3 linked regions of the Bombyx mori genome follow. The protein of the gene in region 1 purifies or fractionates together with the protein of each later gene. This does not show direct contact. Links are inferred from orthologs where the notes say so. Each region holds a gene or a part of one and is shown in the gene's direction. Other genes may lie near its edges. The genes, in order: DNA polymerase interacting tetratricopeptide repeat-containing, protein of 47 kDa; erythroid differentiation-related factor 1; protein HGH1 homolog.

Region 1 (4,164 bases):
GAAACTACTGAATCGATTTGAAAAATTCTTTCACTGTTTGGAAGCTACATTATCTCCGAGTAACATAGGTTATTTTTTTTTAACAAAAATTAGGGATCCTTACTAAAACTTTTGTTAAAGACCCGAGCGAAGCCGAAGCGGGCCACTAGTAGGTTTATATCTTGAGGGATGTTGGAAAATTCATAGTATAGGTAATTTAAACAAGGCCATAAGATTAATTACTGTTGTAGGGAGTACAGAGTAAAGAACCTTATGTACCTGTAGATTTAAAACATTATTATCGATCACATGTCACTTTTGAAACTGGAATTCATGACTGCTGCGTCAAAATTTACTCATTCCTATTGAGGTTCACGGGGATCCATTGGATGCAGGTAGTGCAGGGCCGATCTTTGTAGTGAGGCTTGAGGAGGCCTATGTCCAGCAGTAAACGTCTGTGGGCTGATAGAGAGTAACACCCGTATCTTTAGTCGTTTACACGAGCTTAACTCGACTCGACTCAACCTCCAACGCGCGTTTTGGTATGATTAGTCGTAAAAATAAACTCCACTCAAACGTCCTTGGAAAATTTTCCTAACCGGAGTGAAGTAAGCGAACTGTCAAGTCAAGGTACGTCGCGACGTACCTTGAACGTTCCTCAAGGCTGGTTTTCTATCAATGTCCAAATAGTATCTATCTATCTATCTCTTAGGTTTATGATTGTGGACCGCAAATGGAAATATATGATATTGTTGTGCAATGGCCTGGATCTGTGCATGATTCCCGCATATTTTGATAATTTAAGTTTGATAATATTTATTAATAAAGTAAATAGTTCGAGGTTAGACATTTGAAACTCTTTATTTTATTTACCTACATAACAAACATATTTTGCTTACTACCTGATAAATAAAGTCAATGCGATTATAAGTTTTATTTATATAATAATAAACTGGTGGTTGTGGAAAAGCACTTCAACAATACGATGCAACCAAAATCACACAAAAGCGGCGAATAAAAATACAAAGCCGGATCCGAAATCTAAAATAATAATAGGTTAGAAAATAAATAATACACTTTCAGATTTACCGCACGCACACATATTTACGAATAACTCAGCAACCAAAACATCAAACAGGTTCATCTAGTGTCAAAGAGATAGCGGCAGCTTGGCTTTGACATTAAACAATGATCATAGACTACAGAACTCTATGGGTTTGATGCTAGCTTGATCAAATTTTCATCATTATTACCTCACTCGAGGACAGTTGAGGAATATTGTAATGGTCGACTAAAAATACCAAACTCGAGTATGTTTGGAGGGAATTCTCGAGCATCATCGGATGAGTTAAGAGTGGAGGACTATTTTACGAAACGTCTAAAGATACGGGCATTTGTGTTAGGAAAACTACGATTTAATGGAAGACAATAATAATTGAAAACGTCAAGCGTCAACGTTGAATTTTGTCAAATGTCTGAAAGACGGAATAAAATTTAGGTTATTGAGATTTATAAACATTGAAAATTATGTAGTTAATTAATAGGGTTATGTTTATGAAACATTAAAGAGCATGTTCGTTTAATAAAGTAATTTTCAACAAAAAATACATTATTGTGATACAAAATAATGAACAAGTTCAATATTTAGGGAGCAGATTTCTGATATTAATGAGAAAGTTTTGTTAAACTATTGTATTTAAAAAGCAACTAAATCATGGCCGAGGCTAATAAAAGTGATGTAAAATCCCCAATGACCGAAGAGGAGAGATTAGAGTTGTGCCAGAAGCTAGACAAAGAGCTAGATGACTTTATAGACAGCTTAGAAAAGAGGAGGTATACTGAGGGTTGGCCTGAAGATAGATGGGAGGTAATATGTGTCTATTTTGTTTGCTCTTTTTAAAGTGTTGTTTTTATACAGGAGAACGTGAGTTGTATTGTAATCAAATATATTTTGATTTCCTTAATTGAATTTTATAATACAATAAAATAAACATTAAAATCATTTGCAACGGTATACTAATGGTTACGTTTCTGAGTAATGTATGCTGATTGACGAAAACAAAAAAACTAATTTAATTTCATAACACACTATATGCTTAGGAACTCAAGATATGTTGTTTTTTTGATGAAAAAGTTCAACATATATTATAAAACATGTATTTGAGTCGTCTATTACCAAAGGTGGCAATCTGTGCATTTGGACAAAAAAAAATTATTGATATGTCAATACAGATTGATTTGAATATAATCGTCTCCTTCAAAGAATACGGTTCAAAACCTGCATTAAATAAAGGTTAATAGTTAACCTGTTATTTATCTAAGATGTCGTTCCGAAGAGTTTTGTGACTGCCAATGGATACAAAGTCAATAATTCGTTTTTCTGATTTACCAATCATTGTCCAAAAGTCAGATTGCCGGCTTTGATAATAATCGACTCATTTAAAACATTGAACTTTTATACAATTATTGTACCAAAAGCCGATTCTAATAGGCTATTTACTCAATTTATTTAGGAGGAAATGGACAAACATCCATTTTTTATGAAGTCAACTCCTGAAAATGGTGAGCTTTCTCCACTGGCAGAGGGTCTCGCAAATCTCAAGTTTGATCCAGAAGAAAACACACCTGTTGAACTAGCTAGTAATTACAAAGAGGATGGAAATTTCAATTTCAAACACAAGAATTATAGACTTGCAATATTAGGGTAAGTTGTAATATATATAGCTACTTTATGAAATTAATTTAATTCAGAATTACTTTACTGGGACTGTTGCAAATATTTTGTTTTTTTGTTTTAATGTGTCTTCATTAAGTAAGTCCATGACTTGTTTGGTTAGTTTAATTGAATGTAATTACAGATAAGGGAGTTAATCTGTCGAAATTTAAGATAAAATGTTATATTTTATGTTTGAGTTTTGATATTCTATCTTAGGTACACCGAAGGTATAAAACAAAGATGTGATAATGCTGAGATTAATGCCAGTTTGTACAACAACCGTGCTGCTGCCCACTGGCATTTAAAGAACTTCAGATCTGCACTCGGAGACAGTGAAAAAGCGTTATCTTTCAGTTCTAATCATACTAAAGCTAAAATACGAGCTGCTAAGTCAGCATTTCAAATAGCAAAGTACCAGACCTGTATAAAATACTGTGAAGAGATCTTAGAAAATACAAAGGATAAGGACATTTCTGAACTCCTGAGTAATGCTAAGAAAAAGAAAATAATAATGGTAGTTATTTTACTTTCATTAAAATTTAGAAATATTAATCCTCATTGCTTTTGAAGTTGAACTCTAGTATCAATACAATATTTATTTGCAGTAGAAATAAGCACGAGATGATACCGTTATAATCTCATCAGCTCTTAAGCTTACTGGTGGTAGGACATCTTGTGAGTCCACACGGGTAGGTACCACCGCTCCGCTTATTTCTGCCGTGAAGCAGTAATGCGTTTCGGTTTGAAGGGTGGGGCAGCCGTTGTGACTATACTTGAGACCTTAGAACTTATATCTCAAGGTACCCACCTTTACGTTGCGCATTTACGTTGTGGATGTCTATGGGCTCCAGTAACCACTTAACACCAGGTGGGCTGTGAGCTCGTCCACGCATCTAAGCAATATTAAAAAAAACCTTGCAACACATAACCAGTAAATTTTTAATAAAACACTAAATATGTATTAGGCAAACTTCATCAATGGATTAAATTAATGAAATTTTTTAGTGCAGGAAAAGCTATTTATTTGCGGGGTATAATATGTTCTGTAAATACGCCACGAAACATAGGCCATGAATTTACATGTACATATTTACATCTATGGGATTATAGGGGATAATTATCTTTCTAATTAATATCATTTAACAACATATTATAGGCGTAATTGTAATAAGGTCTATTTTACTTTTTTATTAGTCCATTTGACGATGCTCTTACAAAGAATATTCGGTTGGATACCTACATATTGTAATCCTTTTTATCGATGTGTATGTACCGTTTTCATTTAGAATTTTTCAAATTCTTTAACGTATGCTACAATAATATTTTTTTCCAGGAAAGAGATCAAAGGAAACAGGCTCGTAATATACAAAATATTACGGAGCAAAAAGACGCGGTACTCAAAGCCATAATAGAACGAGGAATCAAAATATCCAATTGTGATGACGAAGATGACATTGACCTCTCGAAAC
Region 2 (3,658 bases), on another chromosome or scaffold:
ATTATGGTTAATTAATGAACTAAGAATATAAACGAAAGGGGAGTTGACAAGGGAAAATCACTTTACTCACTGAATGATTGAACGTTAATTATTAGATGTCACTGTCATCTGTCATATGACAACTGACAGTTGTTAAAAAAAATATTTTTTTCGGTTAAATAAACGTTGTGAAAGAAAGTTTTGTGTATGATAAAGAATTATTGTAATAATAATTAAACCTGAAGAAAAGGCATTTCATGTTGTTTCTTGTTGTTTTTTTTATAGGTGAGTATTGTTAGCTATAAACGTTTTTGTACAAGATACAGTGAAAATTTGTAAATAAAAATCTTGTTGTTTTTTTTAGGAGAAACGCCATTTCGTCTTTACTTTATTGAACACCATAAATACTATTGTATTATGTAAATTAAAAAATTAAAGTACTATAAGGATGGCACTCCGTGAGATACGTATGAAAGTTTTAGAGTGACAACCCTTAACTGAAGTCGTTGTAATCGATAAGACGTCCGGTGCATTCGTATGTAGCGATGCAACGGTGTTCGAATCCCGCAGGCGGGTACCAATTTTTCTAATGAAATACGTACTCAATAAATGTTCACGATTGACTTCCACGGTGAAGGCATAACATCGTGTAATAAAAACCAAACCCGCTAAATTATAATTTGCGTAATTACTGGTGGTAGGAACTCTTGTGAGTCTGCGCGGGTAGGTGCCACCGCCCTGCCTATTTCTGCCGTGAAGCAGTAATGCGTTTCGGTTTGAAAGTTGGGGCAGCCGCTGTAACTATACTTGAGACCTTAGAACTTACATCTCAAGCTGGGTGGCGCATTTACGTCGTAGATGTCTATGGGCTCGAGTAACCACTTAACACCAGGCTGTGAGCTCGTCCACCCATCTAAGCAATAAAAATAAAAAATATGACCACCACCAGGAGGAGAAAGGGAAGGCGTCGGGCTCCAGCGGGCTGGGAGTGGCCGTGCCCGCGCGCTGCGGCCGGGCGCTCCTGCACGCGCTGCGGGGGCTTCTAGCTCTGCACAACGTCACCATCGACAAGTGCAAGCAGGAGGAGAGGGAGCGACTCAAGCAGCAGATCATCGTCGAAGAACAACACCCCAAAATGGCGAACCCATACGAACCGATCAAAATGAACTACGAGCCAATCAATAAAGAGCTCAAAGAACGCTCCCGGGGCCGGAGACGTAAACGAGACCGAAAGAACAGCGAGAAGACCAATAAGTTGAGCGAAAAGCCGCCCGATACGAGTGGCTCGTTAGTGGAAACGAAACCCATAGACAAGAACGCCATTTTGATTCGGAAGGAGAAGAAAGTGTTTCCGTCGTGGCACGAACCGAACAGGGACGACAACTTTGCTTGGAAGCTACATCTGAAAACGTTGCTGTATGAGAAGATATGCTTAGCGTGCGCCACCCTCGCTGAGTACAGCTACGTCAACGAGCAGTACGGCTTCTCCTTAAAGTACATCGATATAGCATCCAAGTGCCAGAAGCTGCTGAGCAACATGATCATCAAGAGTAAAGTGGTGGACGCCAGCTGCCTCCTGGGCAGGGTGGGCGATAATTATTTTCAGCTGAGCAAGCACTGGGGGAGTCTAGACACGTACAGGAAGCAATTCGAGACGGACCACGACACGGACAGCGGGCTGAAGGCGGAGATCGAGAGCGACATGACCGAGGAGGTTGAAGGTGTCGCTTCGGATGACTTTGACCTAGGTGAGACCCTTTGCCTTTCTTGGACCTAGGTGAGACCCTTTGCCTTTCTTTAACCTAGGTGAGTCCCTTTGCCTTTCTTTGACCTAGGTGAGACTCTTTGCCTTTCTTTGACCTAGGTGAGACCCTTTGCCTTTGCCTTTCTTTAACCTAGGTGAGTCCCTTTGCCTTTCTTTGACCTAGGTGAGACTCTTTGCCTTTCTTTGACCTAGGTGAGACCCTTTGCCTTTCTTTAACCTAGGTGAGACTCTTTGCCTTTCTTGGACCTAGGTGAGACCCTTTGCCTTTCTTTAACCTAGGTGAGTCCCTTTGCCTTTCTTTGACCTAGGTGAGACTCTTTGCCTTTCTTTGACCTAGGTGAGACCCTTTGCCTTTCTACAGATAACTAATGGCCTCCCGGTAGTCAAAATTCGACTATAATTAGTTGAAATTATAAGTTTGTACACTATTATAATTATCAAAGACTACTTCTATGATCACAGATTTTGCCAATTTAGGCGATATTAATAAAGATCAATAATATTTAATCTATTCCCAACTTGACCACAGACTAAGAGCAATAAGAAAAGTTTGACAATAAACAAATAGTATGCATTCGTGTGTGTGTCAAATACATGGTAGTGTTTGTAATGGGTTTTTTTAATGTGATTGTTATGCATTGGTTTAGGTTTGAAGGGTACCCCACCCTTCAAAGCCGTTGTAACTATACTGAGACCTTAGAACTTATATCTCAAAGTGGGTGGCGGCATTTACATTGTAGATGTCTATGGGCTCCGATAACCATTTAACACCGGGCGAGCTCGTCCAGTCATTTATGCAATAAATAATTTAAAAAAAAAACATGTCATAAGGCTTCGACGACCAATGGGTTCGACCTCGGGGAAGTACAACAGATGGCCCTTAGATTCCCCGCCACTAGCGCCCTCTGCTCCTGATTTATCTATACTAATATATAAATCTACAGTGGTTTTTACGGATGTTCCGTTATAACTACTGAACCGTGCATCCGATTGACTTGAAACTTGGTATCCATGTAGAAAATACATGCACTTAATGGATAGGCTAATATTTATATGAGTGTTGGACTCTCTACACCAGTTGCGGGGGCGTTAATGATGAGTGTCTTTGTGGGGGTGAGGGAAATAATTATGTTAATTTTAGATGCCCAGCGAAGCGGATCGGTACAGCTAGTTTTTATTTATTTATTTTTTATTACCTAGATGGGTGGACGAGCTCACAGCACACCTGGTGTTAAGTGGTTACTGGAGCCCATAGACATCCACGACGCAAATGCGCCACTTCGACTTGCACGACTTCAAAGTCATTAATAAAACTTTCGCAGATATAAGCTTACCGACGAGCGAGACCTCAGCGATGATTATGTCGTGTGACTACTACAGGCGCGCCGTGAGGGTCACTCACGACAAGAGGGATGAGCTGCTGAGGAGACTGGCCTCGGTCCTTAACGAGCTCGCCGTCAGATACATGAACGACGCCCAGCGTGAGTACACTTAGCCTATTCCGGGAACTTTTATCGTCACTCGAAGTTGAAGCACGGTAAAGTTTACAATTTTTATTAGGTACTAGCTGACCCGGCAGACTTCGTAGTACCTCAATCGATAAATAAAAGACCTAAGCTTTTGTATAAAATAAACTTAAAACAAACAAAAGGAAAAACAAAATTGTTTGTTTTTATATATATTTATTATATATTTTAAACCTTCTCTGGACTTCCACAAATAATTCAAGACCAAAATTAGCCAAATCGGTCCAGCCGTTCTCGAGTTTCAGCGAGACTAACGAACAGCAATTCATTTTTTTATATATATATAGATTATAGGCCTGGCTCAAATCGAGTTTGATATTCCAATCTGTTTGTAAAACTTAGGAACTCGTTGATGGTGGAAAAGATGAAAATGAGTGTTTTATGTACT
Region 3 (3,380 bases), on another chromosome or scaffold:
GCAATCGGAACTTTCTTCAGAGTAATGGATGGTATTCTCATAGGGTACTTGGCTGCGGCCTCAAAGACCATGCATTTACTTTTTTTAAAGTTATACACTAGGCCATGACAGCTAACATACCTTTCACATATACGTAGGAGCCTCGCCAGTCCAAGGGAGACGCACTCAGCAGCACCATGTCATCAGCGTAACTAATATTATTGATATTGACACCTTCAACATGACAGCCGACATGTGTGCTGCTAAGCTCGCGAATCAGAGCATTAACGTACAGGTTAAAAAGCTTAGGGGAGGTCAATCCCCCCTGCCTCACCCCGCACTCCAGCCTGTACGGTTCAGACAGCGCTCCTGCCCATATCACAACGCTGACCTGGTTGCTGTACCAAAATTTAAAAATGCTATTTATTTCTGGTGGCACTTTGGTATCCTCCAGTTTTTTTCATAACATATCGTAGCAGACCAGATCAAACGCTTTCGACAGGTCAAGGAAGCACGCGTAAACTGGCGTCTTTCTATCGGTGTAGTATCTGACAGTCCGCTTTAGGCAAAAAAAAATGCACTTTCTGTTGAAAGACCCGGTCTAAAACTGGTTGTCGTGGAGTATTTTCTATTTCGGAACTAAATTTAAAATTGAAAATTTCAGATATTTTCTGGTTCACAAAATAAATAACTAAAACTATTACGGTGCCTTAAGCGTGTAGTAATGGCAACTTATTAATCGTTGAGGATCCGTGGAAGTGCACAAGTATGGGAAAGTGAGAAATTCCCAGAACGTGGCTTTTCAATTTCAATATATTAAGGTCAATTGAAGGGTCAGTCTCACAATTTTACTGGGAAAGTATTTAATTCCATCTTGACTCATCTCATCTAATTCCATTTTATTTCGTTCAATTATAATTAATGGCTTTCATATTAATCAACTTCTTTCATTACGTACTATTTCTTAAAGTAAATAAATATTTAATAAATAAATAGACACAACACTGTCAATAATGGCATCATAAGAAGCCAATTCCTCCTCGTATTCTTCACGGCTGAGGATTGTGACCATCCTTTTGTATCACCTTCACCAAAAGAAGCCAATTAACATACTGAAAAATACAAAAGTAATTTACATAAGAAACGTGCTTAATTCAAGTCTTAATCGGCTTTAATCAATAAAAATCTTAAATTTTACTGGATTAAAAAGACGATGTATAAGTGTTAAATCAAGGAAAAAATATCACACACGAATTTACTATTAAATAGGTACTTAGTCATACTCTTTATGCTACTTTTAAATGATTATTACAAACAGTTTTAAAATTTCGCGGCTATTTGCATTTAACATATTTAATTTAATGTCTAGACTATCCATGATCATGGCATTTGCAACACCGCCGAAATATCAGAAACTCATTAGAAATCAAAAATCATTGTAGAACCTGTTAATTACTGTTAAATAATGATGCCTGTAATGTATTTTTAACAGACTGAGCAAAATAAATGACCTTAGTCTGTGGATTTTAGTGGAGTAGATTTCATTGCTAACATGAAAAAAAAAACATCATTCCAAGATTTTGACAGGAAATTTTTGCTGTCAACAAATAGCGACACAAGAGATCGCGTCAACTGCGTAAGTTACAATAAATCAAATTTAAATCCTATTACACACAATGGCGCTCGATTCTTTCGACGAATTGATCGAATTCCTGAAACCAGAGTCCAGGATAGACTTGAGACACATATCCATGGACTATCTCGTCAGCCTATCGGGGACGGAAGACGGTGTTAACAAAATGCTTGAACACGAAAGAATCACTCAAGCCGTCATCGAATTAACGGACGACAGAATCAAAGAAATCGCTAAACACGCACTCCTGATGCTCGTTAACATATCTGCCTACACGCGTGGCGCTACAGAGCTTCTCAAATACAAGCCATTGCGCTATAAAAACATAATCGACCTACTCATTAGCTACGTATTGAATCCTAACAAAACTGACGCAGATGCCGCCTGTATGACCCTGTCGAACATCACGCGACTCGAAGACGAGCTGGAAGTCTGCCTGAACACTTTTATACCCCATCTAAACGATATCATGAACGCATTCGTGAACACAGAGTTTAACAAGACCGGTTCGAACCTGCATTACCTGGCGCCCATGTTTAGCAACCTGGCCTGCAGCCACAGAATAAGGAAGTGGCTCTGCGAAGAGAATCCCCATGTACCGTTAATAAAATTAATACCGTTCTGTAACTATGATGTGTCCAACATACGGAAGGGTGGTGCGATCGGTACAATACGTAATATATCATTCGACACAGACTACCACGAGTTCCTAGTGAGCCCGGACTTGGATCTGCTTACATACATTTTGTATCCCTTAATGGGCAACGAAGATTATCCTGATGACGAAATGGAAACACTCCCTGTTACTTTACAGTATTTACCAAAGGAGAAGCGGAGAGAGCCTGATATAGACATACGTATTCTGATACTGGAGACACTGAACAAATTGTGTGCTCAACGTAGAGGCAGACAGTATTTACGCGAGAACGGAGTGTACTATATAATGAGAGAATATCATAAATGGGAAAAAGACCCGAAAGCTTTGATAGCGTGTGAGAATGTAGTGGATATACTGATTCAGAAGGAAGACGAGGTCGGTGCGGAGGACCTGTCAACAGTAGAAGTACCTGAGGAATTGAGGGAAAGATTCAATAAAACCAATAGTGATTTTATGATGAATCTGCAATAAAGAATTATTAATCTAATTATTTTGTCTTTTTAAGTCCAATTAGATGCCTAAGGCGGAGAATGCTGTCTTAAGTCTGACGTCCATTCGAGCACTTAAGGGTTTCTATTGAGCCTCCCATGTTGATTTTATCTTTGTGTTTTATCAATTGTTCAGATACTTCCGTATAATTGATCCATTCAAGAATTAGTTTCTGTGTGACTGAAAACTATATTGAAATAAGGTTGAATCTTTGGCTGGTAGAAACTGCCTTAAACGTTAAGTCCCAAGAAGTGTAATTTAAAAAAAAAACAAGTCTGAACTGGATCTTGTAATTACTTTCATAGTAGATAAGATAATATGTATGTAAAATAGTACCAACTTATGCAGAAACGGACTGTTTAGAAACACTTGTGTTTTTACTAAATTTTAATTGCTTCAATTTTCAAATCAAATTATACACATATAAGCTAATGATAGTATAAAAGTTTATTTTTATTTATGGCCCATGTTAAGATTACAGAAACTGATGCATGTCATAGCTGTTACTTTTTTCAAATTTTTGTAAGCAGAATTGAAGTGGTTTAATCCAAAATTCATGTTTTCTGGTCAATTCCAAAAATGCAATTAATGAATTACTGGTGGTAGGACCTCTTGTGAGTC

What was found.
Region 2: the proteins of DNA polymerase interacting tetratricopeptide repeat-containing, protein of 47 kDa (region 1) and erythroid differentiation-related factor 1 purify together in Homo sapiens (affinity purification with mass spectrometry; 3 studies listed by BioGRID and IntAct, counting the BioPlex papers as one, with this or other methods). This does not show direct contact. The link is inferred for Bombyx mori from reciprocal best matches to the Homo sapiens genes TTC4 and EDRF1.
Region 3: the proteins of DNA polymerase interacting tetratricopeptide repeat-containing, protein of 47 kDa (region 1) and protein HGH1 homolog purify together in Homo sapiens (co-immunoprecipitation; 4 studies listed by BioGRID and IntAct, counting the BioPlex papers as one, with this or other methods). This does not show direct contact. The link is inferred for Bombyx mori from reciprocal best matches to the Homo sapiens genes TTC4 and HGH1.

Annotation. Positions count from the first base shown.
Region 1 is NC_085126.1:4,843,217-4,847,380, forward strand, and holds the start of DNA polymerase interacting tetratricopeptide repeat-containing, protein of 47 kDa, read left to right. Parts: upstream 1-1,252; 5' UTR 1,253-1,693; coding exon 1,694-1,846; intron 1,847-2,492; coding exon 2,493-2,683; intron 2,684-2,911; coding exon 2,912-3,209; intron 3,210-4,028; coding exon 4,029-4,164.
Region 2 is NC_085132.1:2,168,543-2,172,200, forward strand, and holds part of erythroid differentiation-related factor 1, read left to right. Parts: intron 1-928; coding exon 929-1,727; intron 1,728-3,066; coding exon 3,067-3,225; intron 3,226-3,658. UniProt on the Homo sapiens protein: Transcription factor involved in erythroid differentiation. Involved in transcriptional activation of the globin gene.
Region 3 is NC_085117.1:1,010,761-1,014,140, forward strand, and holds protein HGH1 homolog, read left to right. Parts: upstream 1-1,363; 5' UTR 1,364-1,426; intron 1,427-1,509; 5' UTR 1,510-1,655; coding exon 1,656-2,741; 3' UTR 2,742-2,757; downstream 2,758-3,380.